6 linked regions of the Oryzias latipes genome follow. The protein of the gene in region 6 purifies or fractionates together with the protein of the main gene of each other region. This does not show direct contact. Links are inferred from orthologs where the notes say so. Each region holds a gene or a part of one and is shown on either strand. Other genes may lie near its edges.

Evidence for each region.
Region 1: the proteins of erlin-2 (region 6) and tmub1 purify together in Homo sapiens (affinity purification with mass spectrometry; 4 studies listed by BioGRID and IntAct, with this or other methods). This does not show direct contact. The link is inferred for Oryzias latipes from reciprocal best matches to the Homo sapiens genes ERLIN2 and TMUB1.
Region 2: the proteins of erlin-2 (region 6) and insig1 purify together in Homo sapiens (affinity purification with western blotting; 4 studies listed by BioGRID and IntAct, with this or other methods). This does not show direct contact. The link is inferred for Oryzias latipes from reciprocal best matches to the Homo sapiens genes ERLIN2 and INSIG1.
Region 3: the proteins of erlin-2 (region 6) and tmem259 purify together in Homo sapiens (affinity purification with mass spectrometry; 3 studies listed by BioGRID and IntAct, with this or other methods). This does not show direct contact. The link is inferred for Oryzias latipes from reciprocal best matches to the Homo sapiens genes ERLIN2 and TMEM259.
Region 4: the proteins of erlin-2 (region 6) and E3 ubiquitin-protein ligase RNF170 purify together in Homo sapiens (affinity purification with mass spectrometry; 4 studies listed by BioGRID and IntAct, counting the BioPlex papers as one, with this or other methods). This does not show direct contact. The link is inferred for Oryzias latipes from reciprocal best matches to the Homo sapiens genes ERLIN2 and RNF170.
Region 5: the proteins of erlin-2 (region 6) and amfr purify together in Homo sapiens (affinity purification with western blotting; 4 studies listed by BioGRID and IntAct, with this or other methods). This does not show direct contact. The link is inferred for Oryzias latipes from reciprocal best matches to the Homo sapiens genes ERLIN2 and AMFR.

The regions. Positions count from the first base shown.
Region 1 is NC_019875.2:10,862,501-10,867,404, forward strand, and holds the start of tmub1 (transmembrane and ubiquitin-like domain-containing protein 1), read right to left. Parts: upstream 3,350-4,904; 5' UTR 2,929-3,349; intron 2,851-2,928; exon of another isoform or gene 2,673-2,850; intron 2,312-2,672; 5' UTR 2,295-2,311; coding exon 1,840-2,294; intron 1-1,839. UniProt on the Homo sapiens protein: Involved in sterol-regulated ubiquitination and degradation of HMG-CoA reductase HMGCR. Involved in positive regulation of AMPA-selective glutamate receptor GRIA2 recycling to the cell surface.
Region 2 is NC_019878.2:19,438,735-19,443,545, forward strand, and holds the start of insig1 (insulin-induced gene 1 protein), read left to right. Parts: upstream 1-1,736; 5' UTR 1,737-1,871; intron 1,872-2,242; 5' UTR 2,243-2,642; intron 2,643-2,737; 5' UTR 2,738-2,754; coding exon 2,755-3,088; intron 3,089-4,164; coding exon 4,165-4,289; intron 4,290-4,592; coding exon 4,593-4,759; intron 4,760-4,811. UniProt on the Homo sapiens protein: Oxysterol-binding protein that mediates feedback control of cholesterol synthesis by controlling both endoplasmic reticulum to Golgi transport of SCAP and degradation of HMGCR.
Region 3 is NC_019862.2:1,619,546-1,624,466, forward strand, and holds the start of tmem259 (membralin), read left to right. Parts: upstream 1-1,871; 5' UTR 1,872-2,291; intron 2,292-4,064; 5' UTR 4,065-4,198; coding exon 4,199-4,402; intron 4,403-4,773; coding exon 4,774-4,921. UniProt on the Homo sapiens protein: May have a role in the ERAD pathway required for clearance of misfolded proteins in the endoplasmic reticulum (ER). Promotes survival of motor neurons, probably by protecting against ER stress.
Region 4 is NC_019870.2:16,803,114-16,808,211, reverse strand, and holds the start of E3 ubiquitin-protein ligase RNF170, read right to left. Parts: upstream 3,344-5,098; 5' UTR 3,095-3,343; intron 2,515-3,094; 5' UTR 2,491-2,514; coding exon 2,351-2,490; intron 1,854-2,350; coding exon 1,778-1,853; intron 1,199-1,777; coding exon 1,084-1,198; intron 840-1,083; coding exon 766-839; intron 1-765. Other genes in the region: gpn3 (GPN-loop GTPase 3), read left to right, coding at 4,351-4,398, 4,555-4,663. UniProt on the Homo sapiens protein: E3 ubiquitin-protein ligase that plays an essential role in stimulus-induced inositol 1,4,5-trisphosphate receptor type 1 (ITPR1) ubiquitination and degradation via the endoplasmic reticulum-associated degradation (ERAD) pathway.
Region 5 is NC_019861.2:26,263,480-26,268,278, forward strand, and holds the start of amfr (E3 ubiquitin-protein ligase AMFR), read right to left. Parts: upstream 3,422-4,799; 5' UTR 3,247-3,421; intron 2,762-3,246; 5' UTR 2,744-2,761; coding exon 2,489-2,743; intron 1-2,488. UniProt on the Homo sapiens protein: E3 ubiquitin-protein ligase that mediates the polyubiquitination of lysine and cysteine residues on target proteins, such as CD3D, CYP3A4, CFTR, INSIG1, SOAT2/ACAT2 and APOB for proteasomal degradation.
Region 6 is NC_019867.2:25,069,377-25,074,230, forward strand, and holds the start of erlin-2, read right to left. Parts: upstream 3,247-4,854; 5' UTR 3,239-3,246; coding exon 3,072-3,238; intron 3,030-3,071; exon of another isoform or gene 2,962-3,029; intron 2,279-2,961; exon of another isoform or gene 2,225-2,278; intron 2,093-2,224; coding exon 1,985-2,092; intron 1-1,984. UniProt on the Homo sapiens protein: Component of the ERLIN1/ERLIN2 complex which mediates the endoplasmic reticulum-associated degradation (ERAD) of inositol 1,4,5-trisphosphate receptors (IP3Rs) such as ITPR1.

The sequences.
Region 1 (4,904 bases), on a different chromosome or scaffold from region 6:
TCCATTAAGAGTTTAGTTTTCTAAAGTTCAGCCCTCTGTTGTTATTTTCACATCCAAATAATCCAAAGGGAACATTCTTAGAACATTCTATCACACTGTTTGGTCACATGTCTTTGCTAAATTCAAAGCGTTTCCACACATTGGACTGTGATCATTTCATGCTGACATCACAAACCTGTTGTCCACTGTGATTCACTTGGTCATTTTTACCTCATAGTAAAATAAACCTACCACGTCTCAATCCAAATTCATTTCATCTTGGGATGATTTTTTTTAATAATTATAGGTTGATTTGATTCGATTAATTCACCACTGTAGCCAACTCTCATTACCTGGGAGTACGAAATTAAAAAAGGCATTTCAAACAAGAGCACAAGCCTCAGGAGGTTAAGGCACACTGTCCAAAACTGATCGATCTACTTTGATAAATCGATTCATCAATTTATCACTGACCCCTACACTTGAGCAATAAGCAGGCAGCGAACAAAGCATCATAGTGAATGTTTAAAACAAACCGACTGTGAAGCTTTTCTTTTTCAGAGCAACAGCTTCAGCTGCATTTATCCAGCATTCTGTGGTTACGTATAACTGCTGCTATGAACCATGATGATGATGATGAGGAGGAGAAATGTTGCAGACAGAGCTGCAGCTTCAAGATTCCTATTGTATTCCTGAAACATTGAGAAGAACCAGAAAGGCCTTCTTTGCTGGATGCGTGTCCTCCTGTGGGGTCCTCACGATGTTTGCTTCAATTCATGAAGCAAACGTGACCGACAGACGTCCCACATCTTCCTGTCTCAAAGTTTGATGAACCAGATTTCTTCCACACGCCCTCAGCAGCTTCATAATAAAGATCTAAACTGACATACAGAACTGCAGCCGAAGTTTGTGTCCCTGCATGCAGAAATAGCATCATCTGACTCAGAAGTGGGCAAAAACAATCCTGATACGCTGAGGAAGATAATTGCGGAGAATAATTATCATCCCAATGAATGAATGATGGAAACCAGCCTCTTGAGGAAGAAGATGCCCTCTCACACTTAACTGATGAAGGAGGAAGCATGAGACAGAGAGACACTCCTAATGTGTGATATAAAGTATCAGTCTATTGATCTGAATAAAAAAAAACTCTTCATGTTGAGCAATATTCCAATGTTCAATGTTTTATAAAGTATCAGAAATATTTCAGAAGGGTTTTTGATGAGTGAGGATCTGTGGCGGACATTCTTCCCCCACAGGGGTTGGGGGTGCTTCCAGTATTTCCGGGTGCCTCTGACCCCCCCCTGCGCGAATAAGGTGGCAATTCTGTAGTGCAATATAGTATGGTAAAGTGCACCGTATTACAGTAATGCAGTCCTTTGTGTTGTGTTGTACAGTATGGTTCAGTGTATGGGATGGTGAATTAGAGTTTAGTGTTGTAAACTACAGTCCAGTACAATGTATTACAGTTTATTCCAGTGTAGTGTGATGGTATACTAGAATATAAAACAGTGAATACAGTGTTGTACAGTAAGTACAATGTAATGCAATGTAGTACAGTGCTGTACACTGAAGCCTATTTTAGTACTGTGTAGTAAGATGTAGTACAATGAAGTACAGTAAAGGACGGTGAAATACTGTATACTACATAGATAATAGTGTGGTATATTGCAGTACCGAGTACAGACAAGTATGGTGTGATATGGTCCATTGCAGTGCAGTACACTGTGTTAAATTGTACTGCAATGAAGTACGTAAAAGTAGAATAAAGTACGGTGTAGTACAGTGAAGTGTGGTGCAGTGTAATACCATGTAGTGCAGTACAATAAAGTAAACTGATAGATACGATAGAAAAGTTACCGTTTGATGTATCCGATGGTGTCTTGTGGTTTGACTTGAGCCGTTCTCTCTGTGTCGTTCAGAAATTTTAGTCTGACCACCATGTTTCTTGGGGAGGACAATGGCTCCCCCCCTGCTCTGTGTCTGACTCCTCCCCCCACCTCACTACCTTCCTGTGTGGCGGAGGTCGTGGGTGGAGCCTCTGACGGGACGCTGTCATTCACAGAGCTGGCAGCTGAAGATGAGGATGACGTTGGAGAGAAAGACAAGGAGCTGCTGCTGGTGGAGGACAGGGGCGTGTCCTGTGGGGCAGAGACGGTGCCTTCTGTGGGGGTGGGGTCTGTAGAGGCATTGAACAGGTGCTCTGGGGGCTCAGAGGTGTGGGTGGAGATCCATGCCAGCAGCAACACCAACAACACCAGCAGTGAGCCAAAGAGCAGCGTCACCTCATCGCCGACACCTTCGATTAGAGCCATCGCCCACGATGACACACCTGCAAACAGGAGGCGGAGCTTAGCGTCAGCCATCACGAGTTTCATTTGTCATAGAGCACCACCGATAATAACTCTTAGCTTTCCGTGTGAATGTAACCAACTCAGAATTGACCGGACTAACCATAACCAGCCTGATCTTTTGATCTATTTTCAACGTGTTTCCTTTTTATACTTTTACTTGTTCATTTTTTGATTGAATGTATCAAACACAGTTAGCATTTAAGTGCTGCTTCAGTTTACATAGGTATTTATTCAATGTGCCCTAATAAAAGTATTATGAAGAAAAAAAACCCAGGAAACTTTAAAATGCGAGCAGTACAACTATGATGACGTGGTTGAAGAAGCCCTCTCCGCACTCACCTGTTCTTTTTGTAAACAAACTCCCAGTATAACCCACGTGGCATTTTCAAAGTATTCCCGGACCCTGAACCGTTCTAAACTGCCTCACTAAGATGACTGTTACCCAGCCAAACCCTCATTATTTCACTTTTACACTGCGGCCGCACCTGTGATCTTTCCTCGATGTCTGAGCGTTGTCAAACTGAGGTCAGCTCCCCACGCGCCCTGTAATGCCACCTGTTAATCACGTCACGTGACACACAGAAGCACATCTCACCTGGAGGGTGGACGGCCGGACTATGTATGTGCAGATCCAAACATGCAACTCGAACCAAACCATGGTCTCTAGTGTAACCTGGCTTTATCGGAACCTAAGTTCCGAGAAGCTAACTAACAACTCTGACAAGAGAACGAGTTCAGAGCGGGATACGAACAACCTGACCGAACCTTGTTTAGAGCTGGACCCAAACAGAGGCTAAGAGGAAGCCTCGGAACAAACAGACAGACTTGAAACTCACTGATTAAGGTCCAAACGTCATATCATGAGTTGTTAGCCCGTGGGCTTCCAGGCTAATGTTCGCCAGATGGTCACTTCCTGTTCACGCTTCTTCTTCTGGCCTCCCGGTAGAACCAACGCGATGATGGTGGCATGCTGCCATCTGCTGGTACTTGGTGAAACACCACACGTTCAGGCCGTTGATCAGAAATGAATGAGAAACCTTATGGTGGATGAAAGACAGACCAAAGACGTTCGTGGAGTGAGAAGTGGTTGGTGTGAGCAAAGATGCACACAGCTTAAATGGTCGGAGACATTCCCTAAAGGGAACAGTCAAAAAGTGAAAAAACGTAAGCTTTCTCGATCATTACATTCAATTGTTTTATAAAACACATTGTCAATCATATCGTAATGGTGGTTTAAACTCACACGGGGAGAGACTCAATTTGCCTCATAGTTCCTGTATCCTTGAAGTTTCAAAATAGATCTCTTATGTAACGACTAGTTTACTTAATCTGCCTAAAGTCAGCTGCCTAATTCAACCTTTACCTTTTAATACATCATTTCAAGGTGTTATCAGAATCAGAGATACTTTATTGATCCCACACGTGGGAAATTTGTTTGTCACCATAGCAACTGACAGCAGAGGGGAAAAAAGACTAAGAATTAAGTAAAAAAAAAAAAAAAAAAAAAACAAGAACAAGAAAATGTAGCATAAATACAGACATCAAGGTATTATAATTTAAAAAGCTATTTACAGAACAGTGCAAGTAGAAGATGTGCAAAAGAAATGTGCAAAATAGAAAACAACTAAATAAATAGGTAATAAAAGATGTGCAAAGGTTATTTTTTGCATTGTGTGTTGTACAGGGTTATTGCATTGGGTATGAATGACTTTTGGTACTGGGCAGTTTTGGAGCGGAGCTGTCTGAGCCTCCTAGAGAAGGAGCTCCGCTGTTTGTTCAGAAGAGGGTGAAGAGGATGCTCTGGGTTGTCCATGATTGAAAGGAGTCTGTTCAGGGACCTCCTCTCCATCACTGCTTCAAAGGTGTCCTGTTTGCAGCCAATGACAGAACCCGCCTTCCTGATCAGCTTGTTCAGTCTGTTGGTGTCACTGACTGCAATGCTGCTTCCCCAGCAGACCAAGGAGGAGAACAGGGTGCTGGCTACCACAGACTGGTAGAAGATCCCCAGCATCTTGCTGCACACATTAAAGGACCTCAGCTTCCTAAGGAAGTAGAGTCTGCTGCAGGCCTTCTTGTACACAGCAGTGCTGTGGCTCCTCCAGCTCAGTCTGCTGTCGATAGTCACACCCAGATATTTATACTCCTCCACCGCTTCTACATCCTTGCCCATGCAGAGGCGTTGTAAGACAGTCCTTTTCCTCCGGAAGTCGATCACCATTTCCCTGGTCTTGTCCACGTTGAGCAGCAGGTGATTCTCTCCAGCCCACTCCACAAATCCATCCACCAGCCTCCTGTACTCCTCCTCCTGTCCACCGCTTATACACCCCACAACCACAGAGTCATCAGAGAATTTCTGTAGGTGACATGACTCTGAGTTGTGCTAAAAATCTGAGGTGTATAAGGTGAACAGAAATGGAGAGAGCACAGTGCCCTGTGGGGCTCCCACACCACTCAGCACCACGTCAGACAGGACACCGCCCAGTCGGAAAAACTGTGGTTAATCTCTGAGTCACGCTGGTTGAATTTTTGGCTTAAGATATCCCTGATCGATTTTACTTCAGTAAATCAAAT
Region 2 (4,811 bases), on a different chromosome or scaffold from region 6:
GCCTTAATCTCTCCAGAGTTCATAGAGCAATTTGTTCCTGATTCAGTCCTCTTTTGGATGGCCTCCTGAACTTATATTAAAGACTCTGATTCTGCCACTCCCTGACTCCACCATTGTGTCCGCCTGAGCTGCATCTGATAGTGGAGCACTTTGGTTACTATTGCCTGTTTACCTGCTGTATAAATAAACTTGGATTAGACTGAGATAACCTTGTTTGCAAATTAATTTGATCCCAATAACATAAAAATGCCAGAAGTTTTGTTTACCTAAAAACTTGTGTTAAGAAGATTACTTTTAGTCTGAAGGTGATTAGAGATTAAGACAATGGTACAATCAACTCAAAGCAGAGCTTTTCCAATGTTTACAGCAGAAAAAAACAATCACATTCCTTCTAAAATAGTATATTTATTATTTGTAAATTTAAAATAAGGCATGAAAAACAACCTAAAATTATTCTGTTATGGTAAATATGGAAAAATGTTATGCATCATTTATTTCATCAGACATAAAATATAAATTACTAATGAATAAATCGACATCTGCAGATGTCTTAGAAATGCTAATATATCCAGAGTTTATCTTCTCTTTTTCGATTATTTGGTCAATACAAAGATCTGGACTGATTAATGCCTCAACCCTGAGAACCCAAGAGCAATTTTCTTCTGGGATTTTGAAGTTAATTTGGCTTTTTTGTTGTTTTTTTCATTTTGCAGCAATTAACATAGACCAGAAGATTGAAAATCCATAAATAAATTAATAAAAAATACACAAAATGTATATATAATTTTGAAGAAAAAAAAATAAAAAAACAGCGGCCAAACTTGTCTCCATGGGTTCTCCAGGGTTAAACTTTTGTTTTACTTAGAAATATTTGAGGGAAAATCTGTTAATTTTCTTTTCTTTCTTTTTTTTTTGACAAATATTTTTATGTTATATTTTCAAGTCATGAAGCTAATCACTGGGTGGCAACCAGAAATAAGTTTCTGCTTCACAGCTTCATTTGACAAAACAAAAATCATCCTCCTTTTTAGTTCTGCGTTTTAGCTGCACATAATTGCCGTGACACAATGAATACAACACTGAGCCATTAGCAGCACAGTCAATTAGCAAAAGAGGAATTTAAGAGGGAAACTTAATTAACAGGACATGCTATCTGATTGATACGCTTTCTGTTTTTGTTTACAAATTTGCTGTGAGTCATGATGCAACAAGTCATTTTGCAAGTCAATTTACATCGTAAAAAGGATATTCATCCATGTAATTTATTATCATGACACTGATGTTAAGAAATGTGACTTTTAAGGATGTTTTAAGAGGATGTAAGGATGTTTTTTTGTCTAATGCTTTTCTTAACGTGTGAAATGATTACTTTGACCAGAAGTGAGTTTTCTTTAAAAATTATGATTTTATGTTGTGGCTATTATAAGGTTAAACTGCATGGAACACGGTGTTTACAGCTGTATGTGAGTCAAGGGTCGGTAATGGTTACTGTGCTCCCTAATTGGCAGTGAACTGGACTAGAGGCATGATCGTAAAACACGTAGGTCCTGTCCCCGTTGTTTTTAGTCCTTGAAAGGCGGGCAATGAACTCTTTGCATGACATTATCTGTGAATGACATGCGGATGGCCACACACCTTTTGCAGCCTCCCTCCGAACCACACCTCCTCTATGATGACCTATGGGTCAACAACTTGTGCAAGCATCAGAAAAACATCACAACAAAGTGTGCCACTAACCCCATTCCCTGATGCCTGCCTATAAAAGAGCACCTGTGACTTGGATTAGGGTTATTTAGTCGATGTAACTCGCTGATGTAGCTACAAAGGAAGAAATAGACCAACCTTTAAGGATTAAACCTGCGTTCTTCCTGGTAAGAACAGTCTCCTAATTCTTTACATTATTATTGTTGAATTAGAATAATTACAAGAAATGAATTATTGGCTAAAAACAGAAGATACTACTAAAGTATTTCATTAGGCTATGCAAAGGCTTTCAACTTTAAAGCTCAGCATGAAAATAATGAGCAGATGTTTATTAGCAACAAAAATTGGTTATTATGCATTACTGTTTTATTTGACACACCAATCAAACCTTTTTTTGCTACAATCTCTGCAAATAAGAGGGTGATGCTTTTTTGATCAATTAATTCTTTTGGTTTTTTTTAGTATTTTGACTTTATGGTTCCTTTGTCAGTAGTTTTTCCTCACTTTTTGTGTTTTCTTTTTCTTTTTTAACTTCTAGGTGATTGATTTGTACTTGTTAAGTGAAGAGAACTTCTCCATTGAGAGCGTTTGCATTTCAGCCGCAGCCTCCTGATCTGAGCGTCTGCGCCGGACGAGGGGGCGGTGGGGTGGCGTGACGTCATATCAGCCACCGCGCTCTGATTGGCTGCCTGGCTCTCACCCGACAGAGCTGTGATTGTTTTCTGCAGAGGAAGCCTCTGAACGAGCGCCGTGCGCTGGAATGAAGCGACCCTGTGTGTGTTTTTTTTGTTACTGAAGCGATGATGTGAGCGCACAACGTGACCGGAGTCCTTGTCGTTGAGTGCGGGAAAACAAAACAGGGTGGTAGTTTGATCACTGGCCGAGGCGCCAACGAGCAGGACGGAAGTTTGGGTCACACAGTCTCAAGAGAGATCAAGGTAAGAACTTACAGTTTACGACTTACTTTCATCATCTAGACCCATGCTATAAATGATTTATGTTTGTAAGTTAAATCTTTTTTTTGATTTAACAGTAAAAAAAAAGTGCCAAATGCCGAGACTGGAGGACCACTGCTGGAGCTGCTCTTGTTCTTCTAAGGCTGACACTAAGCATTCATCGGGGGCTAGCTGGGTCGCATCCAAGGTTGAGGAGATGATGTCCATCATAACCACGGTGCTCGGGAGCGCCTACGGCTCTCTGCACGACGTCCGGACCACCAACCTGATCCGCCGGGGTCTGGTCCTCTTCACGGTCGGGGTCTTCCTGGCCCTGGTGCTGAATTTACTGCAGATCCAGAGGAACGTCACTCTGTTTCCTGAGGAGGTGATGACAACGTTGTTCTCCTCCGCTTGGTGGATCCCTCCATGCTGCGGGACGGGAGCGGGTGAGTTTGTTGGAGGTTGTTTGTTCTGTTTTTTAATCAGAATTGTGCTGCTGTTTGGCGACAAAGGAGGCCAGATAGGGGAGGGGTCACAATGCTCCAGGTTTTTCCTAATAAAATACTATTTTTGGTGAGAATAACCACAAATGTGACATAAAAACTTTCAGGTTAAATTAAAAAAAATGTCTCTTTAGGTGTATTTCTAGGGCTCGACAAGCGAATCCGTCGATTTTTATGTCTAAAACGACAGAAATACCCTAAATATCATTGACTTAGACTTTCGCAGTGAAACATAACATTAGTCATCCTTTCTTTCCACCATTATGTAAGCTTTTTTTCTCTCGGGCGGTGTGGATCTGGCTGGTTTTGTGTTAGATATCAAAAAAGATGGCTGGGCACATATGATAGCTATTTCTGCGCTCTGATTGGCTGAAACAACCGGACGCGACGTGCGACGTCCCCTCATTGGTTGGTGTCATAACGGGTGAGCGGAGGACCTCCCCCTTCTTGTAGAAACAGGAAGTGGGGTTTTAAAAAAAAGAAAACATTCCATTGTGGCTCCGCCTCCCACGTGCTGAAGGAAGGCAGAGAAACAGAAACCGATTTTTCTTGGTTTTAAAGTCTTTTTAGACGACTTTTGAGTAAACCAAAGTTCAAATTTCATGTAATATGTTTAATTCATATTTAACATAGAAAAACGTTTCTAATTTATTCCTATAAAAATTATAAATTCTGACTGTTTTACATTAAAGATGTGGAGAGAATGGTTCAGAATTTAAATAAATAACTTGTTTATACTTTTACGGTCAAATTTAGGTCCAAAACCACTTATTTTTAGGGCAATTACCTTTAAGGTTTTTTCTCAGAAAGTAATTTAAATAAATAATAAATTCACATATATGAGCCTTGAAATTGCAAATACACAAAACAGTATCGCGTTCACATGAGTCACTAAGTATAGAAACGCACGTCTCAGCAAATTTTCTGTCACTGCAGCTCTTTGACAGGATTTGCCCTCAGTGGGTCTCGGTATTTCTGCTTTTGTTGCATAATTCAGGCGTATTTGTTGGTCTTCACAGCTGTTATCGGCCTGCTGTACCCCTGCCTCGACAGTCATTTGGGAGAGCCTCACAAGTTCAAGAGGGAGTGGGCCAGCGTCATGAGATGCATCGCCGTCTTTGTAGGAATCAACCACGCCAGTGTTGTATCCTTTTATCACCCTCCAAGTCTTGCCCCGCATGAATTTGCTTTGCTTTAGCCACAACAAGAATCAAACCTTTTCCAGTGATGAATTAAATACAGGGTCCCTGTTGAGTCTTTTGTTTTCCGACCAGTAAAGAGTCTTAGTTTAAAATTTTGTTGCTGTTCTGTTTTGTTTCTTTTGTTGCAAAGAAAGGAAGTGCGTAAACGTCTGTTCTTCTCATTCAGTCCAGCTAGTCAAAAAAATTCAAACCATCTGATCCTGTGCTAACATCGAAGTGATTCCCCTTAACTCTTTGGAAAACAGAAGTTAGACTTTGCCAACAATGTGCAGCTCTCCCTAACCCTGGCCGCGCTCTCCTTGGGCCTGTGGTGGACGTTCGACCGCTCCAGGAGTGGCTTCGGTCTGGGCATCACCACCGCCTTCCTCGCTACTGTCATCACACAACTGCTGGTCTACAATGGCGTTTACCAGTAAGTCAGCCTTTTTTCAGGGGAGATTTGGAGCAACAACGTGTGGTTTCAA
Region 3 (4,921 bases), on a different chromosome or scaffold from region 6:
AGCTTAACAGCACTTATTTGTTGTGACTCCTGATTCTGGAAAACACACAAATTCAGACATTACTGTTGTAGATGGTTGCTCATATTTTGCCCTGAAATACACTTAACTATAAATCCCCACAGTGTTCTTCATTCCATGACGTCCGAGGCTTTATCATTAATGTTTAACCCTTGTGCTATCTTAGATGACACCCCCCCCCCCTTACATTGACGTGTTCTCCCTACCATGACAAAGGTGGATGAAGGTGGAAAGATTTCATGTAATCCATGGACACCAGTGAAGATCACAAATCATTGAAGAAAATAGGTTCAGGGCACTGTCTAGTGGGTCTAGATGACCCAACTCCCAATGTTAAAGTGCCTAGGATAGCACAAGGGTTGACAGCACTGTCTGCAGCTTGTAACACACAAGCTCCAATCTAGAGCCAATGCCACAACGAACATGAGTGTAAATAGGAAGCAACATCTTCTAACCCAAGAAAACCACTGTAATACTTAATTTACAAAGTCAATTAGCATTCATTATTCGGAATTGGATCAGACTTTACATAAATGATTAGACATTGACAGCTGTCTGTTTTCAATGAAACCAAGTCTCAAGAGATCAATCTGTATAAATAAAGTTTTAATAATGTAGAATTACTAATTTGGATTTAAAAAAAAGCATCATGCAGACCCTTTCTAAAAAAAAACAATATTAGAATAAGAAGTTTCTTGACCCGATGAACCCGACAGTTGGATGCGTCTCCTGAAGGTGGAGGTTCTTGAAGCTGTTCCTCCACCTCATTCCAGGCTTTCTGGAGGTCTGCAGCTCCTTGAATCTTGTCCTTTTGATGATCCGCTGAAGTCTCTTTGCTGGAATTTTAAATATAAAAATTGAAGGGTTATCTAAAAGGAGCTGCATTACCAGAATGCAGGGTTGAATGTTATCTTGCTGAAGAAATGGCTGAGGTTGTTTGCTAACCATGCCAACTACCCCTGGGCTTACTCAACAATGCCGAAATTCTTTATATGTCCATATTGAGTGGTTTTCAATATGTTCAGTTCAAACCGTAGGTCGTGTCGCCATCCCATAATGATTTCAAAACATGTTATAGTCCAAAGCCTTATGAGCATTTTACGTTTGAATGGTGTCTAGCTAAAATTATGTTGAAGTTATAATGGTTGAAAGAAGCAAATGTTTTCAAGGATTCCACATGTATTTAAATGGAGCCAGAAATCATGGACTATCTTGAAGAGTTCAAAGATTCATAGGACCTAAAGTCATAGCTGGAAGGAATAAGCTGAACATTGTAATAGTTGAGTGGTTAAAATAGGTGAAAAATTGTAGAAGGAGTTAAGTGCAGAAAAACGGCAGAATATGCTATGAAAAAGAAACAGTGGTTTACAGCATTCAACCAAATAAATCAAGAGAAACAAGAAAACAATTATGGAAGCGACTCTGTAGCATAAATAAAAATTAAAGTCAATACCAGAAAAGTCAATACTAGAATACCATTTTCAAAATGAATTTTTGCATTTCTATTAATCCATTTTGTCAAATTAGACATTTCTAAATGAATTTTGTTAAACATTTACCAGAGAACGTTTTGAGAATGAAATGTCAAATACCATTTTCATTATCATTTTAATTAAGTGACAGAATGAACGGTGTTGAAGAAGAAAATGAAAAAGCATTTTGGTGGATTGCTTTTTCATTTTCGTTTTGAGTCAAAAAATGCAGCTTCATTTTGAAAATGAAAAAGCATTTCTAGTTTTGACTTTTATTTTTAATTATGCTACAGAATCGCTTCCATAAACAATGGGTTGAATGCTGTTGTTTTTTTGTGTGGTTTTTTTGTGCCATGAATCATCAGTCAAAGACGAGGAAAAAGTCTTTGCAGACAAAATGCAGGAAAGCGAAAAACAACTCCTGTCAGACAGCGCGCAGGTCGAAGGCTGAGCGTCCGACATCCGTACTTCCGCTCTATCCGTGGTTTTGATAACAGCATCCGTTAGCTCGGTCATTTAACGCCGACAGGTCATTTTTGCCTATTAGAAAGTTACACCTTTCTGAAGTTTACTTCAACATTTTGAGTTTCCAGCCTATGTAAACTTTGACGTAGAAAACGTGAGTTTAATGCGAGTTCCGCAGGTTAACTGGGGTTAGCTGCTAGCTTGTGTAGCCTGTCTTTCGTCGTCTTCGCGGAGGTCCGCTTCGAGCTGCTGGGCTTCAGCCTTATGGCCTGATCCAAACGCCGAGAAGAGCTGGTTTACGTTGACACGGACTCGATAATTCGGAGTCATTGGCTGGTAAGTCCGCTGGAGGAGTCTCAGCTGCGGGGCAAGAGTAAAGGCAGCAAGGCCCGAGAGAGACGGCGCCCGAGACTGTTGACCACAACACGTCAGCTGATCGATGCGCCACGAGAGCACAACATGCTGATCAGCACAACAGCAGGTCTGGGCTGACGGTTCTGGTTGGTACTGTAGTTGGGACTGATTCAGGTTCAGAACATACGGACAGGTGGAGGAGGAACGCCTTCCCAGGTCACGTGAGCTCACAGGAAGTTTGGAAGTGAAGTTGGTGAACCGTCTTTATTCAGGACTCACTGATGTTTGAATTACCGACCGACCGACGCCTTCAAGTTAGGACCAAAAAGACAGGTCCAGTTCTTGGTCATCTGCTTAAACGTGATGTTATTGAAAGCATCAGAATGACCAAAGTCAACAAAATAAAGCAATAAAAAGTGAAGGCAATGTAATGAGCTCAACAACAGACACTACTGCCCCTGTCTGCCTAAAGCGGTGTCACTAAAAACCTAAAAAAACGTTAAATAACAATCAGCAAAGTCTTCCTAAGGTCTGAGGATTTGACCAAACTATAGCTTGCTTTGCTGCAATTGGGCTCGCACAAAAACCATAACCTTACTGTCACTGTCATGTTGGCCTGTGTGATAAATACGGACCTAAATGTTTACACACATGCTGAAACAATCTCAGCTTGAAGTTTCTAACAAATAGAATTCAGCCCTTTAAGCATTGGAGCTGGATGCCCATCTCCTTTGTAGATGATGGGCATTTAGAGAAAATGTAAGTTATGTTGACCTTTATTTAACTTACACTGTGGCAGTGAAATGGAAATGATGTATGTTTTTTGTTTTCTCTAATTATTCATGTTTTGCAAGTCATATCATCATGCCAGTACTGATCACTACCATTGCGTGTTTTCCTCACATCGTGCAGCCCAGCTGTAATAACAATAGAAATCCATTTCCAATGTAATTTACTGGTTTTATTTCTGACAAGCTGCAGTTTATTATGAAATTACCTTTCATTTTGAAGCATTAGCAAAGTCATTAGCAAAGCAAAAGAAAATACAAAACAAAATAAATAAATAGACTTATTTGAGTAAAATGACATTTTGTCTATTTTTTTCATCATCAATTAAATTACAGTTTTATGTATGTTGTCCAATATTTCCTATGAATATTAATATTGTGAAAAAAGTGGATAGCTTTACTTTGAAAATGAGAACCAACACTTTACTTTGAAGTTTTATTTACTTCAGGTCTCAGTGGTTCATGCAGCTGTGTTCAGTTCATATCATTAAAATCCAACATTATTCTGCATTGAAGAATAACACTCTCTATGACACTCTCATAGATTCATGAAGATCACAAATCAGCGTTGCAAATATTTGTACTAGTACATTCAGGGAAATATATCCGAGTACTTGGATACACTTTACAGCCCTGGTCATTAATGATTTTTCTCAAACATGCCTCATATTTATAGCTCCTCCGAAGCCTTGGCGTAACCCTTGTGCTATCCTAGGCACTTTAATATTGGGAGTTGGGTCATCTGGACCCACTAGACAGTGCTCTGAACCTTTTTTCTTCAATGATTTGTGATCTTCACTGGTGTCCATGGATTACATGAAATCTTTCCACCTTTGTCATGGTAGAGAGAACACGTCAATGGAAGGACGGGGGGTCATCTAAGATGGCACAAGGGTTAACCTGATCTAAGTTCAGTCAACTCCTGATAGATCAGTAATCAAAGTTCTTTGTTTCTTGTCATTTGCAGCTCTCGGTGGAGCTTCCCCTGTTGACTCTACTCCGGCCAGAGCTCCGCCTTCTCTCTGAGGCTGTATTGAGCCACCATGCTCACTTAGAGCCAGCCAGTGGGCCCGTGTCTTGCAACCAGAATCCTCAGTGACCATGTCCGAGAACCAAGCCAATAACGTCCCTCTGAACAACAACATTGGACCCAACAGGATTCGAAACCCCAACATCAACCAGAACCCCCTCATCAATGTCCGCGACCGCCTCTTCCACGCGCTGTTTTTCAAGATGGCTGTTACCTACGCCCGTCTCTTCCCTCCGTCTTTCAGGAGAGTTTTTGAGTTTTTTGTCCTCCTCAAGGTGAGAGAAGCAGAACTGTCTGGCTTTATGGACAGAAACTGACTGGCTAACGAGAAGCATTGCTGAGCTCTTTAACCGCTTTGAATGGAGGGAAACTCTGCTTCCCAAAAACCTCCGTTTTACCAAGACTGTCCATCCGTCTAGGTTTTAGTCTGCAGATCAGCATTCTGTGATGTGTTTCAACTCTGGTATAGTTTCTGAGACTACATGAACATTTGGTTTCAGTCTGAATTTTGGTCGGTTTTATTTGGAGAACAGAGGTTAATGGCATTATTATTAACGTTCCACTGTTGTGGCAGAAGGTCACAGTTGTGTAGATTTGAATGTTGGTGAATGTGTCAGTAAAATGTCCTCCTTTTGCTGTCCTCCAGGCTCTCTTTGTCCTCTTCATCCTTGCTTACATCCACATTGCCTTCTCTCGCTCACCGATCAACTGTCTGGAGGCCGTGAGGGAGCGCTGGCCTCGCGACGGCATTCTGCGCGTAGAGATCCAGCGGAACTCCAGCCGGGCGCCCGTCT
Region 4 (5,098 bases), on a different chromosome or scaffold from region 6:
ATCCAAAATCCAAAAACCTGTGTCGTTTTCTAGGATGTAAATTCTGCAAAGCGGCAGGACGAGTTGTGGGCGGGGCCATTTTCTGTCAAGCATCTGTCTATGCGCTCTCCCGCTGGTGTGCAGCCCCTCCCGACCCCAACCTAACAATAAGAATGGCGAGCAACATCCAGCCGTACAGTTTGTCTGTTTGTCTGCAAGTGGATGCATCAGAATGGAGCAGAGCAGCGAGCTTGAGGCCCTCCCAACAAATTCTCTACGTCAAAAAAGAGCTCATTTTTAAACAGCAGTTTTTCATTTGCTCCTAATTCACAGCAATTTGAATTTTATACATGTCCTCCATTTGTAGAATTTGTTTTTCGCACATAAACATGTTAACAACACAAAAAACATAATTTTCATTGTAGAAGATCTTAAATGTTTTTTAAACCATTCCCAACAGATTATGCTAGAAAAAACAGATCTTTTCTATAGAGATGTTTAACTTTCAGCAACAGTCACTAAGGACCCTTTCCCAGTTTTACTAGAAAAATCAGTTTAGGAAAAAAAATAAAAAAATCATGTCATAAAACAGAGATTTTGGCAATAAAATATTTTTTGATTTGATTTGAAATGGTTTATTTCAAGCAATCAAATAGAAATAATATACAAAAACAATAAAATCATCCGTTATACATTCATACCATAACTAATCAAGCTTGGATAATTAGACATATTAATAAATATTGCTTGAAAATAAAATATAGATATAAAAGCAATAAAACTCACAATTTGTCTGCAGATTGGGCAGTGGATGGCACCAAGCCAGGTGCCATATCTCCAGTAAGCCATGATGCAGGAGCCTGTGTAAGAATATGTTAACATCTTAAAAACCATAAATAATCCACATCTAAGTAAAATATCTCATTGATGAGGGTTTGACACAACTTCCAACTATTAAAATTAAAACAAAACCTGTTTTACAGGAGATTTAGAAGAAATTAGCACAAGATTGTACAATTTCCTCACAGAATATCAAAAGTACCTTCACTAATAAATTGTGTGAGGAACCCCTAAACTATACTTTGCTTCTAAACTCTTTCTTACCACAGAAAAGGTGTCCACAGTTTGTTTCCACGGGCAGAACCGCCTGCTGCAAACAGACGGGGCAAGACATGTCTGTGTAGAACTGCTGCCTGGCCTCTGCCTGAGGGTTTTCATCCTGACAAACCACACGCAGAGAACACGTCTCACCATTGCAAACAGGACGTTTGACAAAATAAAATACACAGAAAGACATCTTCCTAAAATAGAATCGGTGATTCTGCAGAGCTGCAAAGATCACTGTTATGAAATATTTCAATGTAGTGGTTCTGATTCTGCAGTTCCTCCATTTCCTGTGTCTGCCTGCTTACATATGTTCTTAACTCCTCACTGAATTTTAAAGCCTTTTGAGGTGACGATGAGCAAACAGTTTAAACTCAATTCAATACTGAAGATACTGGCCGTCTGTATATGTATATGTATAAATATTTTTAAAAATGTAGTTTTAACTTACTCAGATAAATAAATAAATAAATAAAAAGGTTATTTTAAAGTATTACAACTCCAAGAGTTAAAAAAAAAAAACAAGCTACATTTATTTTCTGTTTACTTGTTTGATTTTTTAAAAAAATAGAGCAGTGAATGATTTTATTTTGAAACTCAGAATTAAGCAACAGAAGAGAAAAACGGCGCTCTGTGGCTACAACTAGTCTAGGTTTTGCCAAAAACTTTCTGGGGTTCTTTCTAGGTTGCGCACCTGTTCAGTTTGAAGCTGCTGTCGGACCGCTCGGACATGCTCCTGGTTCTCAGGGTGGATATTCTGCTCATCTTGCCTTAAAAAAGAAGACAAAGAATAATGATCAGACACTAGGATGAATTATGTCATATATGATTGAATTCATCCTTAAATCCCTGACTTGAAAAATCCAAAAACAAAAAGATTGCAACAGATTAACGCAAAGAGAGGCAATCTGAGTGTGTCAATTCTCACTTATGTGTTTCTGCCTGAAGGACAAAAGGTTTTCAACCGTCGTTGCGGTAAGAAATGGATCAATGAAAGAAAATTTCATAATGATGATGTAAGTAAAATGATCTGCCAACTTTGATTGGAGCGCAAAGACCATCATTTTGCTCGTTGCGCAGGGAAACGAGCCTGATCGATCTGGCGTTACTTCAGTCGCTTTAAATTCTAGAATTAGCTCCTATATCTGTGATATCACATAAATTAAACAGCAGCATAATTTCTCCAATCAGCAGAGAACAGCACAGTAAAAACACTGCATGAACTCAATGCTGCCAGTTTTTGCACAGACTTGTTGGTCTTCATTACCTGCAGAGAAGAGTGAGGAGGCCCGCCAGGAAGGTCAAACTGAGAACTACAACAAACAGGACCTGGTTGCTGACACCTTCGATGATGGTGTCCTCATCCTGGATCAGGTAGTCCAGCTCTCCACATTGACTATCCCCCATTCCCTAAACTCATATCCTATGACTCTGGAAAATGAGCAGAGAAAACAAACCCGGAAATTCTTTATCTCCAAAATAAAAGCCTTCAATGGAGAACAGAATCTTTTTAATTGTACATTTTCCTGACAATTTGACACAATTGTAAACATAAAAACCAAACAATATAATGTGAACAATTTAACAGAACAAAGAGAGTGGATAATTGTTGAAAGCTGGACTCTTTTGGGGTTTTGTTACCTCATTCCTGAGCAGCTTATCGAGAATTCTTGAAAGCAAACGTCATTTGTAAACAATTAATGTTTACTTATAGGTTCATTTATCTTAACGGAGGTTTTCAGACCTCATTACTTTTTAACGCTACACAAACGATTATTATAGTCATTTATAACTAGGATTTAAAAAAAGAGAGGATTATTATCGCTCGTAAACAAATACAGAGCCTTATGCTAACAACAAACCTTAAGGTAGTTCCTGAAGTGAAACTATTTCATATCACGTAAATCGAAAGCACTGACGAAAATTAACATGAACGTGTTTCAGACAGCAAAAAAAAATACAACAAAAAAAGAAAACATTTGTTTTAAAAAATAGAAAAACAAAGACTTGCCATAGTTAGTAGTAGTAGTAGTACCTGCTAAGAAGTCCACCGTCACGCGGTAATGTCTGTACACAAACTTGGCCTGTTAACTCCATTCACTTCCTCGAAACATACTATTAATTTAAGCGCCTGATGAAGGACGCAATCAACAAACTTGGTGAGCAGGAAGGCTTGCATACGTTTCCAAATTTCACCTGATCATCGCATGTTGATGCAGTCACTTTCTACTTCTTACTCAATTTTGGTGGTTTCGTTTGTTGACAGCAAAGATCCCTGGGGCTCTACCGCTCCCTAACGGCCAGTTTGTGAACAACTTATTGTCATGATCTTTGCTTTAAGTTTCATGGTTATCGTGGTCATATCATAGGCAGTTTAAACGACTTGTTCAAATAAATACATATGGTTTTAATAAAGCAATTTTAAAGTTAAAGAGCAAAATTTTTCATTTCCTGGGGAAACTTAAAAAAATGCCACAACTGACACTGCCACAGAATTTGCGACTCAATGGTAATTGACACACAAAAAGAAAACAATTGTTGCACAGTATTTTCCTCACTATATTGGTTCAATGCTCATCATCAGTACATTCGTATGGAAGATTTCTGTAGTATATTTTAAAATGAAAGTCAATACCAGAAATGCTTTTTCAATTTTTAAAATGAAGCTGCATTTGTAATAATTTATAATAAAAAAAAAAACAATCCGACCAAACCACTTTTTCTTTTTCTTCTTCTTCAACACAGCTCATTCTGTCACTTAATTAAAATGAGAAAGAAAATGGTATTCGACATTTTTTACTAAATGTGTAGCATAATGTAATTAGAAATATCTTCTTTGATCATCAAAGTTTATTAACAGAAATGCTTTTTCATTTTGAAAATGTAACTGCATCAAGTGAATTAAAAAATAAAATTACAAACGAATGAGCCAATCTGCTTTTCTTTTTCTTCTTCAACACCGCTTATTCTGTGGCATAATTAAAGCGAAAATGCAAAGATGGGATTGCATTTTTGTTTTCACATCCACCGTGCGAAAGGTGTAATAATTCATCACCAGTTCATTCCATTGTGGCTCTTTTTCAGACCACTGTCACCCTGACTTCCATTTCCTCTTTTGATCAGTAGGTGGCAGTAATGAGCCTGACCGTAAATCATCTACCGGAGAAGAAGAAGTAGCGTCATCACACCGATGCGTATGGCATTACAAGCTAGCGTCTGTGGTTAAAGATACTTAAGATCTTTATCACACCGCATTTTTCAGAGAAAATGCCTCGCTATGCCCAGTTGGTGATGGGCCCGGCTGGTAGCGGAAAGGTATGTTTTCAAAAATGCCACTGGATGGTCTACAGCCTCTTGTCTGTTGTTGCTAACAGTACATGAGGTGGTGTCAGTCACCCAGCGTGTTTTTATTTTGTTATTGTGTTTTGCCATTAATTGTATCTTTTTAAAATATTATTATTAATATTTCAGAGTACGTACTGCTCCACCATGACCCAGCATGCAGAGGCTTTGAACCGCTCAGTTCAGGTGGTCAACCTGGATCCAGCAGCAGAACACTTTAATTACCCTGTTATGGCAGGTTAGTATGCTCAAAATGAACCGTTTGTGTCTCCAAATATGAAAACAAAAAAATTAAAAAACGATCATGTTGTCATGGTAATCCATCTATGACAGCAGGATGTCCTTTCTGACGTTGGTAAATCCTTGTTAAAGTCTTGAGATCTGTTGAACCTAATTTACTTTTGTTTAAAAAAAAAGTATTTTATTGAATCTTTAAGTTTATATAATAATAATAACAATATTAATAATAATAATAGTGGATTGGATCTTTCTGCGCTTTTCCAGACGCTTAAAGTGCTTATTATGTGTCCATTATTCATTCACTCCTAAGTCATATTATGGATACACCTCAGTATTGAGAGATAGAATGTTACAAATTAAAGACTTCATTTGTAAAGTGAAGTAGAAAATAAGTATTTGGTCAATATCAAAAGTTCATCTCAATTCTTTTGAT
Region 5 (4,799 bases), on a different chromosome or scaffold from region 6:
GATGAATATTCCTATGATTCAACCAGATCCTTCTGTCAGAGGGAAGTTATGAATCATATCAACTTATAGTTTTTTAAAATCATTTCAGAATGAAATTAATTGATTACAATCGGTATTGGAAAATACCATTTGGATTAAGACACGGTAGGTTTATTTTACTAAAACGTAAAACCGATAAAGTGCATCACAGCGGACAACACACACAATGACAGCAAAAAATGATCAAGTCATCATTACAGTCCAATGTGTGGAAAAACTTGGAATTTTGCAAAGATATGTGACCATAGAGTGTGCTAGACTGTTTTAATAATGTTCAGTTTGGATTATTTTCATGTGGGAAAACAACAGTGGGCTGAACTTCATGAAACTAAAATTGCCATTGGATCTTGTTTTCTTGTATGTTTGTACACATATTTAATGTACAATTTCTGGTGTAACTTCCCCTGTACCATTCAGTACCCAGGTATTCATCTCTGAGTCACACTGGTTGAATTTTTGCCTAAAGATGTCCTAGCAGGTACTGCAAAGGGTGTCACTGTGCATGACGTTTGTACTGTGGCCGAGAGGTGTAAGACACATTTACATTTAAGATACAACAACAACAAATCCCGGTACAAACAAAGAAATACTGAAACACAACATCAAATCACGAAATACAACACCAAATCATGGAACAAATTACTGAGTCCTGAAACACAACAGCTGATCCGGGGGGAAATGACCAAATACAGAATTACAAAAAACAACCCTGTTACAATTGACCAAATCCAGAAACACAACAACAAAAGCAGGTCACGGCTTCTAACAGAAAAGACATAATATAAAACCAATTGACTATGATTTTTTTAAAGTTATTTATTACTGTTTTCTTTATGTGGACATTTTAATTACACGAAACATTCCAAAAGCATTTTTTAAATTGTGTTACTACAATACAAAATAAAAAAATGTTTAGTAAGGTAAAGTTTTTGCGTCACATCTGGTAGTAATGGTATTCCCTTTCCGTTGGCAGCTGCTCGCTTTCGTTCATTTTTTTCTCCTTCTTCTGAAGTCGTGTTTTGCACTAGTGCAAGCTTAATGGAAAGGGAATACCATTATTACCGGAAGTGCAGCAAAAACTTTACCTTGCTAACACATTGTTGTAATTTGTATTGTAGTAATAAAATTTAAAAAAATGCTTTTGGATTGTTTCATGTATTGAAAATGTCCACTTTAAAAAAAACAGTGATAAAGAAATGTAAAAAATCATACATAATTAGTTATGTATTACGTCACTTCCGGGATTCAGGATGTTAGAAGCCGTTTCTCCACTTTCCTTGTTGTGTTTCTGCATTTGTTCGTTTGTACCGAGATTGTTTTTTTGATTTGGTATTTGGTAATTTATACCCGGATTTGCTTTTGGGTTTCAGGACTCTGTAATTTCTTCAGTGATTTGCTTTTGTGTTTCAGTATTTGTTCATTTGTTCCAAAATTGTTTTTAGTGCTTCATGATTTGTTTGTTTGTTCCAGGATTTGTTAATGGTTGTATCTCAAATGTAAATGTGTCTTGCAGCTCTCGGCCATCATATGTTTGCGCATGTTTGCTTCACCGTTGAAGAACTTTGTTTCCGCGTTGGAAAATGTACAGCGATGAAATACCCTTCACTGTGTGTACTGGGATAGCTTATACTTTGATTTTGATTTGAAACAAGGTAGAGTGGACTTAGCGGACATTTGTGAGAAAATGGCAGCTTTCTCATGGCTTTGGATCATGAGTCATGGATAGTGAAAAGGCACAAGATAAATTAGGTCCCAAAAACCACCCGCCAACACATCATCAAGGAACCTTGATGAACCGCGCGAGGTTCGTCGTTGCGGACCCAAGTCTCACAAGTCGCATCGTGACAAACAATGTTAAAGAGCGCGGTAACAAACGGTCACAGGTTCAAGTCCCTAATACAGAATAATAAACCGCACTCAGCAGAGGTAAAGTATGCAATAGTATACATTGAATGATCTTCTGAAAAATATTCAACATTGCTGAATCCCTTGAATAATGTCCTGTGACAGATTGATGGTGTTTAGAGCACAGATAGAGAAGCTGTGGCATCGAAAGAGACATTAAAAAAAAAAAAAAACTTGATATATCTATACATGATTACCGGGTTTTCCCATTGTTTTCCGCAAAACAAAGGTGATCAGCAAGACGTAATATAATAATAACTTAATTTGAGGTCTATTGGGCCATTTCATTTATTTCTGTGTTCAGAATTGGAAGCTCTACCATTTGTGGTCACCAACTTTCGTCACTGGACCTTAGAAAATTGTGGCTTGTGTTCCCTAGTCCTCGACTCATTTTAGGTCAGTGAATCGAATCATATCAGACCATTAAAAATGAATCAATATTGAGTATTAAGAAACCACAAATTAGGATATGAATCAGACCATTGTTAAAATGAATTGTCACACCCCTACATTAGTCTAACGTTTTAAAGTGAGTGAAACTTACCCACACAAACAGACTGTCGGTCACAAGATACCACAGGATCGTTGTTGCCAGTTCTGAGTTACTGACAGCATTGCTTAGGTGTTCAAGATCGACGTGGGAGGGAGCAGGTGTATCGTCCGGTTCCAAGGCCCCAAAGCCGGGGTCTGTCACCGTAGGGTAGGCACTGAAGATGCTCCCAGCGAGTAAAGCCACACTCAATACTGTGTAAGTCTGCAAACTGGGCCACGGAAACCTCTCCAGAAACATTAGAGGCATTGCAGTGGGTGCAGTAGTCTTCAACGAAAAAAGGAAGAAAAAAAAGTCTGTTAACAAACAACACACATCTGGATTAGCCAATGTTGGCCTGACTTTAAACAGCTAAACAGATTATGTAATCAATGGGGTTTGCAATTTGAGGGCGATACCAATTCACCAATACTGGCAAGTTTAAAATAATAATCATTAGTAAAATTATATGAATATAAAATCTAAAGCAATAAAATGCTAATACAGACTAACGCAGGAAGTGGCTAACCCCCATAAGCTTCTTTAATTAAAAAAAATATATCAAGTTCGTTCGGTTTTTTGTCTTTGGGTGTATTTTAATAAATAATCAAACCAAAAATATTCAAATAGAATAATTAAAGTGAGTTAACATGTCCAGTGTTAGTAATTCACCTAGCTAACGTTACCTAATACTAGCTAGTTTGTTAGCCAATCTTTGCTGCGAAGCTAAAACCAATCGCCGAACTGCGGCTTTGTGTCTAGACTCCACTTACAGTTCCTTACAGACAACGTTTGACCCAATATCCCGGGTAATGTCCTAATCACTGGACCGAGTTTTAGTGCAGCTGCACGAAGAAGATCATAGAGGACGACAACATCGTCATGTTTACGCCACCGAGCAGAGCGACAGGCTGAACGGCTGACTCGCGAGCTGCTTCTTCTTGGTTGCGCAGGGAAACTACGTCATCGTGGCTGTTTAAAGGCATCGCCATTCAAATCATATTTCACACGATTTCACACGATTTCGCTGCTACCTACTCACTTCACACACTTAAAATATCATTTACCTTTGCTGCTATCAGCTGCACGAATCCACTTGTAATGTGTTATTTAAAATGTGCTATAAACCACGAAGACAGGAACGGGTAGTTTCTAGAACAAAGAAGAAAAGTCGCGACTCATTCGGGAGAGCAGGAGACGTCGTTTCTTTGGAAATTCACCCCTAATGACAGCAGGGTAGACGTTTATGCATGTAATGATGAGACCAATCAGATTAGATAGATTTTTTTCAAAGTAATAAATATGTATTTATACATAAAAACTCACTTCACAATGTTAGGAAATTAGTGTTTGGTAGATAATTCGATATAACACCAGCCCTTTAAAAAATGATCATATATTAGAACCATACATTTGTATTTTTAAAAAGTTTTTTTTTTTTTATGGGCAGCAGAGCAGATTGAGTTGCATCAATAAAGAATTTGCCCAATTTTTTAAACCAATGACACACGTCTTAAATGTATGACGTCATTGCCTCAGTTTTACATTTGTGAAACCTTCAGGTGGCCTTTACTGTAATTGAATACGTTTGGAATGCTAGCTTTGGTTATTGCAGCTGATGTCCTTTTTGATTCCTTGATGTTTTGTTTTGACAATTTGAAGGATCAGCTTGGGGCTGTTGTAGTACCAGCACAACCAGGCTGCCAGCCCATGGTAGACTAATGTGATGGCATCCCAAAGCAGTGTGTGACCAGAAGAGGTCCAAGGCTATTGTGGATGTGTTTAGCTCTTCCACATATTATAAACCCAATAACCCACAGACAGCGTAATCACTATTTCCAGCTAAAAAAAAAGTACGTTTAGAGTCAAAGTAGTTTAATTCATGGCGTCAATGGGGTTTGTCAATATAAAAATAAATTGCCAAATTGCTCATATTTTTTGTTTATTCAAACTTCAAACACTCAAAGATTTAATTTTAGAATAATGTTTTTGGTGCTGGGAGAGAAGATTTTGCACATTTATCACAAGTTTATTATAAAGTAACTCAATTTAAAAGGATAGTAAATAAAATTTAACACAGTAAGTTTTTTTTTTTAAGATGCATTATAACAATACATCCTGTAACAAACACATTTCCTTTTTTTCCTTTTACAATAAAAATAAATAAAACTATCTACCTAAACAGAAATTCGTGCATACGAATACAAACTTCAGAGTCAGGTAATATCTATTAATATTGAACAAACTGTGTAATAAAACAAACGTACCAATTGTTGAGTGAAGAAGAAGAAAAAAAGCTGTTTTATAATAAAGTCATGACAGAATT
Region 6 (4,854 bases):
TGAAAGCTCACCTGAGCTCCAACGCAGATCAAACACACAAACCCTGATTTGCTTGAGAAGAAAAGGTCAGCGTTCTCTTGCTAATGAATTCTTGTGTGGTTCACTACAGCATGAATGCCCCACTGACTAACCTACAGACTTCTGATCAGATGAGTCACATTAAATTAGGATGCGCTGTGGGTAAACAAAAGAATCGGAAAATTGTAAACTTAAATCTGGATTACAGACCTCAGTATTTGAGGGTGGGGAGTTGCAGATTGGACACATTGACTGTATATAAGAACTGGACTGAGCGACTCCCCCTGGTGTTCCAAATAGGAAGTACCTGCTGGCTCCAAGAAGCCAAAATCCCAAAGACTTCTTTTGAGAAATAAACAGCTATCACTCAGTCATTCTATTTGTCAGGATAACCATTCTTGCTCTGATACCTTTTTTAACCTTGTTCTTGTTAATCTTAATTTTTTCCATGATATTTTTTCTGTAGTGCAAGTTATTCAAGTTATAAACTGACTGATCAGATGCCTCGATAAAAGTATGTGGTTTCATGTCGAACATTCGAAACGTTTGACAGATTCTCCCCAACCACGCTATTAAGTGGAAGGGGTGTGGCCTTCCAACAAGCTCACTCCTGGTTTGTGAGAGTGGTTGCCATAGAAATGATGACTCAGACCTGCTCAGACCAATCACAGCTTACTTACGACTTCAAAGTTCCAACATGGCAACGTCCATACTACGGAAAATAGCAACTGGATTGAATTAATTATGGCTGGAGTCGGAAGTAAGCCATTTTCTATGGATAACGTGAAACTCACTCCGTCCCGTTCTCGTGTCAATAGTTGGATATAATGGTAAAAACCACAAGAACACTGCTAACTTCAGTTCTGTTCAACAGAACTGACTTAAAGCCTAACTCCTGGAGCTGTGGAGTTCCATCGTGTGCAGAATGTTGTGGATGACATGGCTATCATGGGCTGAATCAGTAGTGAACAGGAGAAGGAGGGCAAAGACCTGATTCACAACTTTGTCAGATGGGGCGAACCTAACTACCTGCACCTCGATGCAGCCATGAAAAAATTGGACTTCAGGATGCCCGGGCCTCAACTGAAGCCAGTGACAATGTAAGGGCAAATATGTGAAGCATATGAAAACCTCTGCAAACATAGACCCCCTGTGTTTGTATTTCTTGGGAAGGCTGGTGTCCTCCCACATCGACAAAAACTGCTGCAGAGGGTATATTTGTCACATCACAAGTCAACTGTTTAGAAAGCTGTTTAGAGAAAGTCCAGACTTAGTGACTGGTTGCTGCCTCTGTCCTGATCCATGGACAAATGGGGAAGACATTTCTCCCCTATGGCATGTGGTTCTTTAACACTATGCAAGGCAGTGCTATGGCTAGGACAAGGTGGGAAAAAACCTGAATGAATCGAACTGCTGTGTTCTGTGTTTCCTAACCTAAGAACATTGATTTTGGAGCTAAACTTTTAAAAATGGATCAAACGGTGGAACAGAGTTTAGCGCTCTCGCCTCACAGCAAGAAGGCCCTGGTTCAAATCCCTGCTGGGTCCTCTGTGTGGAGTTTGAATGTTTGCCCTGTGCATGCAAGGGTTTTCCCAAACCCATCCGGCTTCCTCTCACAGTTCAAAATGTGTCCATATGTTAATTGGTGTCTCTAAATTGACTTTAGGTGTGCGTGCGTGCATTTGTGTGGGCCTGCAGACTGGCAAACTGTCCAGGATGTACCCCGCCTTCACCCAACATTAGCCAGGTTGGGCTCCGGCAGCCTAGCGATCCCAAAAGGGATACAGCGGGTTAAGAAAATGGATAGATGAATTGAAATTTATCCAAACTGAGTAAAATATAATTAGATTTAAATTTGGAAATTGTGATAAAGCTTGAATTTGCTTATTTTCTTAGTAGGATGACAGATTGATACATTTACAGCTGCTTATTTTATTATCTGTTAAACAACATCATGCAGGCTCACCTGTAGTACACGCCAGTGTGTCCTTCTTCAATCTTGTGGACAGATGCTAAGAGCGCCGCTCCTCCAAGAGCAGCAATTACGGAGAAAACGACCCCCCACTGTGCCATCCTGACAAGGAGACAGGGAACAGGAGCAGGTGAGAGGAAGAAGCTGGAGGATCAAGACGCTCTTCTTGCAATATGTGACTATGAAACTGTCACTGGAACCCGTCAGCGCTCTGGACAATAACAGTGGACTCACTCGTTTATCTCCTCTCAGCTCAGGCTTAGCCAGGCATCAGCAGCAGCTCTGACCCTGTCACATACAGAAGATCGAGGCTGGAGTTCAGAAAAACAACTTCTCCGCCGATAGTGATGGCGCTCACATCAATCCATCGCACGTTCAACACAAACACAAATACTGGAGGACGGCTTGTTGTTCAGTCACATTGCTCTGAGAGTCAGATGAGCTGCCACAGCTTTGGGGGGGACGGATTTGCAAACACAATCTGCTGAACCTTATGGCTCCACTAAAGCCCCGCCCACAATCAGAGTGATCAGCCCGTCAATTTCTTCACACTCCTGCCGGAGGCCTCAAATATACATTTCTGTAAGTGTTTATTGGTCATTTAGCTTGATTACAGGATCAATCAGGTGAGGGACATACATACATATAAATGTTACCAAGCATCATTCGAATTTGACCCAAACAAACTAAAATAAATACATAAATAAAACAAAAAATTTTGTGTAAAAAATGTTATGTAATGACAACACAAATTAGAACTAAAGAAACGTTCAGCATTGTGGACTTCACAGCTAACGAAATTAGCAAAGTGGGACCCACTGTGCCCTTTATATCCCAAAATAAACCGCTTATTTTAGGAGTCTGGTCTTTCAAACACATCTCAATATGTCACGTCTCCCATTCATTTTGGAATGATTGGGCAACTGAACTTGGCGTGTGTTTTCTCTTAATACAATCCAATTTGTCCATACCTTTGCACGTGTACTCAGCTTCGAATTACATTACTTTGATGTTAAAGAGCAAAGCAAAGAGCGTGTAACCACAAAATCACACGTGTATGTCTCAATATCTCTGAGCTTACCTGAAAATTGTATTCAGAAAAAACAAAACAGGAAACAAACGACCTACAGCTTCTTCTTCTGCTTTGATCCCATGTAGTGTTCCTTGTCTACAGCACTGCAAGCGCGCCCCCTGGTGGACACTGGGATTTTTATCTTCAAGGCCAGATCCGTGAGACACAGGTTTCATATGAATTATCTAAAATAATGTACACATTGAAAAGAAAAGAAAACGTCATAACCTACAATATCCCCAAAACTGCTGAAAAGATTTTCCTAAACCATAGGAAATTATGATTATTTATATTATGTGTTTTTTTCTTTTTTAATGAAAATCCTGTCTCTGAATTTGTTATTCAAAGCATTCCTCTGAGCTGTTTAATTTGCTTTTCTTTGCCATTGTATAGACTTCCTATCTGAAACAAGTGCAGCAACAAGGGGTGAATGAGAATGAGTCACCAGATGCTCAGGAGTTAATCTGTTACCAGACTGACCACGGACAAAGCAAGTATTAACAAAGCTTTCCACGTCTGAGATGTGAGATCTATCACATGAAATTCCTGTCCATCTTCAAGGAACACCACCTTCTGCAGGTTTTATGTGTTTTTGCCTCTTAAACACACCTGATTCTCTTTTGAGGTCTTCGCACATGTGATCTTCAAGACTGAGTTTTCCAAGTCTTATATACGTTTTAAAAGGTCTTTGCTCTCAGACCACTTAGAGTTTTTGTGATATTTTATGAACAATTTCTTCTGTGAGAGTTAACATCCAGTGTTAGGTCACATTTCACTATCATGTCCCTCACCTTTGGAATGGCTTTTCTGAGGACCTAAGAGCTTTTGCTTTGTGATTTAACTAGCATGGCATTCTATGGGTTTTGCTTATCTTTTTTGTGTGTTTTCATTATATGGACCTCTAAAGGATTTCTTGCCGTTGATTTACACAACTTTACTTCATAACATGATTTCACTCGGCTCATCCAGAGTGATCAGCAGATTTACCATCTCTAAATGAGACTCAAAAGAGAAAAGATCATGTTCTCTTCCCCCACTAGGTGGTGTAATGACTTTGAAAAAGAATTTCAGTATGTTCAGTATTTTCTTTCACCAACCAAAGTGAATAAACACTAGTAGAAAGATGCGGAGTCTAGAGCTACCAGACCAGAGGTCCAGAGGAAGACCAAAGAGGAGATTTATGGATGCAGTGAATGAAGGTAGCTGGTGTTAGAGGAGATTGTGCAGAACACAAGGTTAGATGGAGGAAGCTGATTCACTGTGGCTGGTATCAAGCATCATCCTTTCGGCTTTTCAAAAGGAAAAGAAGAAGAAAAAAGTGGAAAAAAAACCAGAAACTGCACACTCTTGTGGCTTCTAGAACTTGCTGTGTCATTGTTAACCATGCATTTCTCCACACTAAATCCGAGTAATCATATCCTGGTTTTATCAGCCTGTGAAGAATTTCCTGACCCATCAGCTTGATCTGGACAAAATGAGCCAGCAAAGGGGGAGGAGGCCAAAATGGAGAAGATGTCATTTCCTGTTGACCACAGATGCCTGGCACTGTGGCATGCTGTAGATAGAGTAGAGGGGTGAGTGTATGGTTCTTTGTGAGACCACAGAAAAAAACATAGATTGTCAAAAGTGTGTGCTTAAAAAAATCTGACACTCTTTGTATTAATAAAGACTTTTTAAACAGATGCTATTATAGCAATTATTGGATGCTTTTAATAATAAGCATTGGTAAGTTTTACCAATAGTTAAAGAAGCAGCCATTTTAACCAAACAACACTTCCATTTAACACATTAC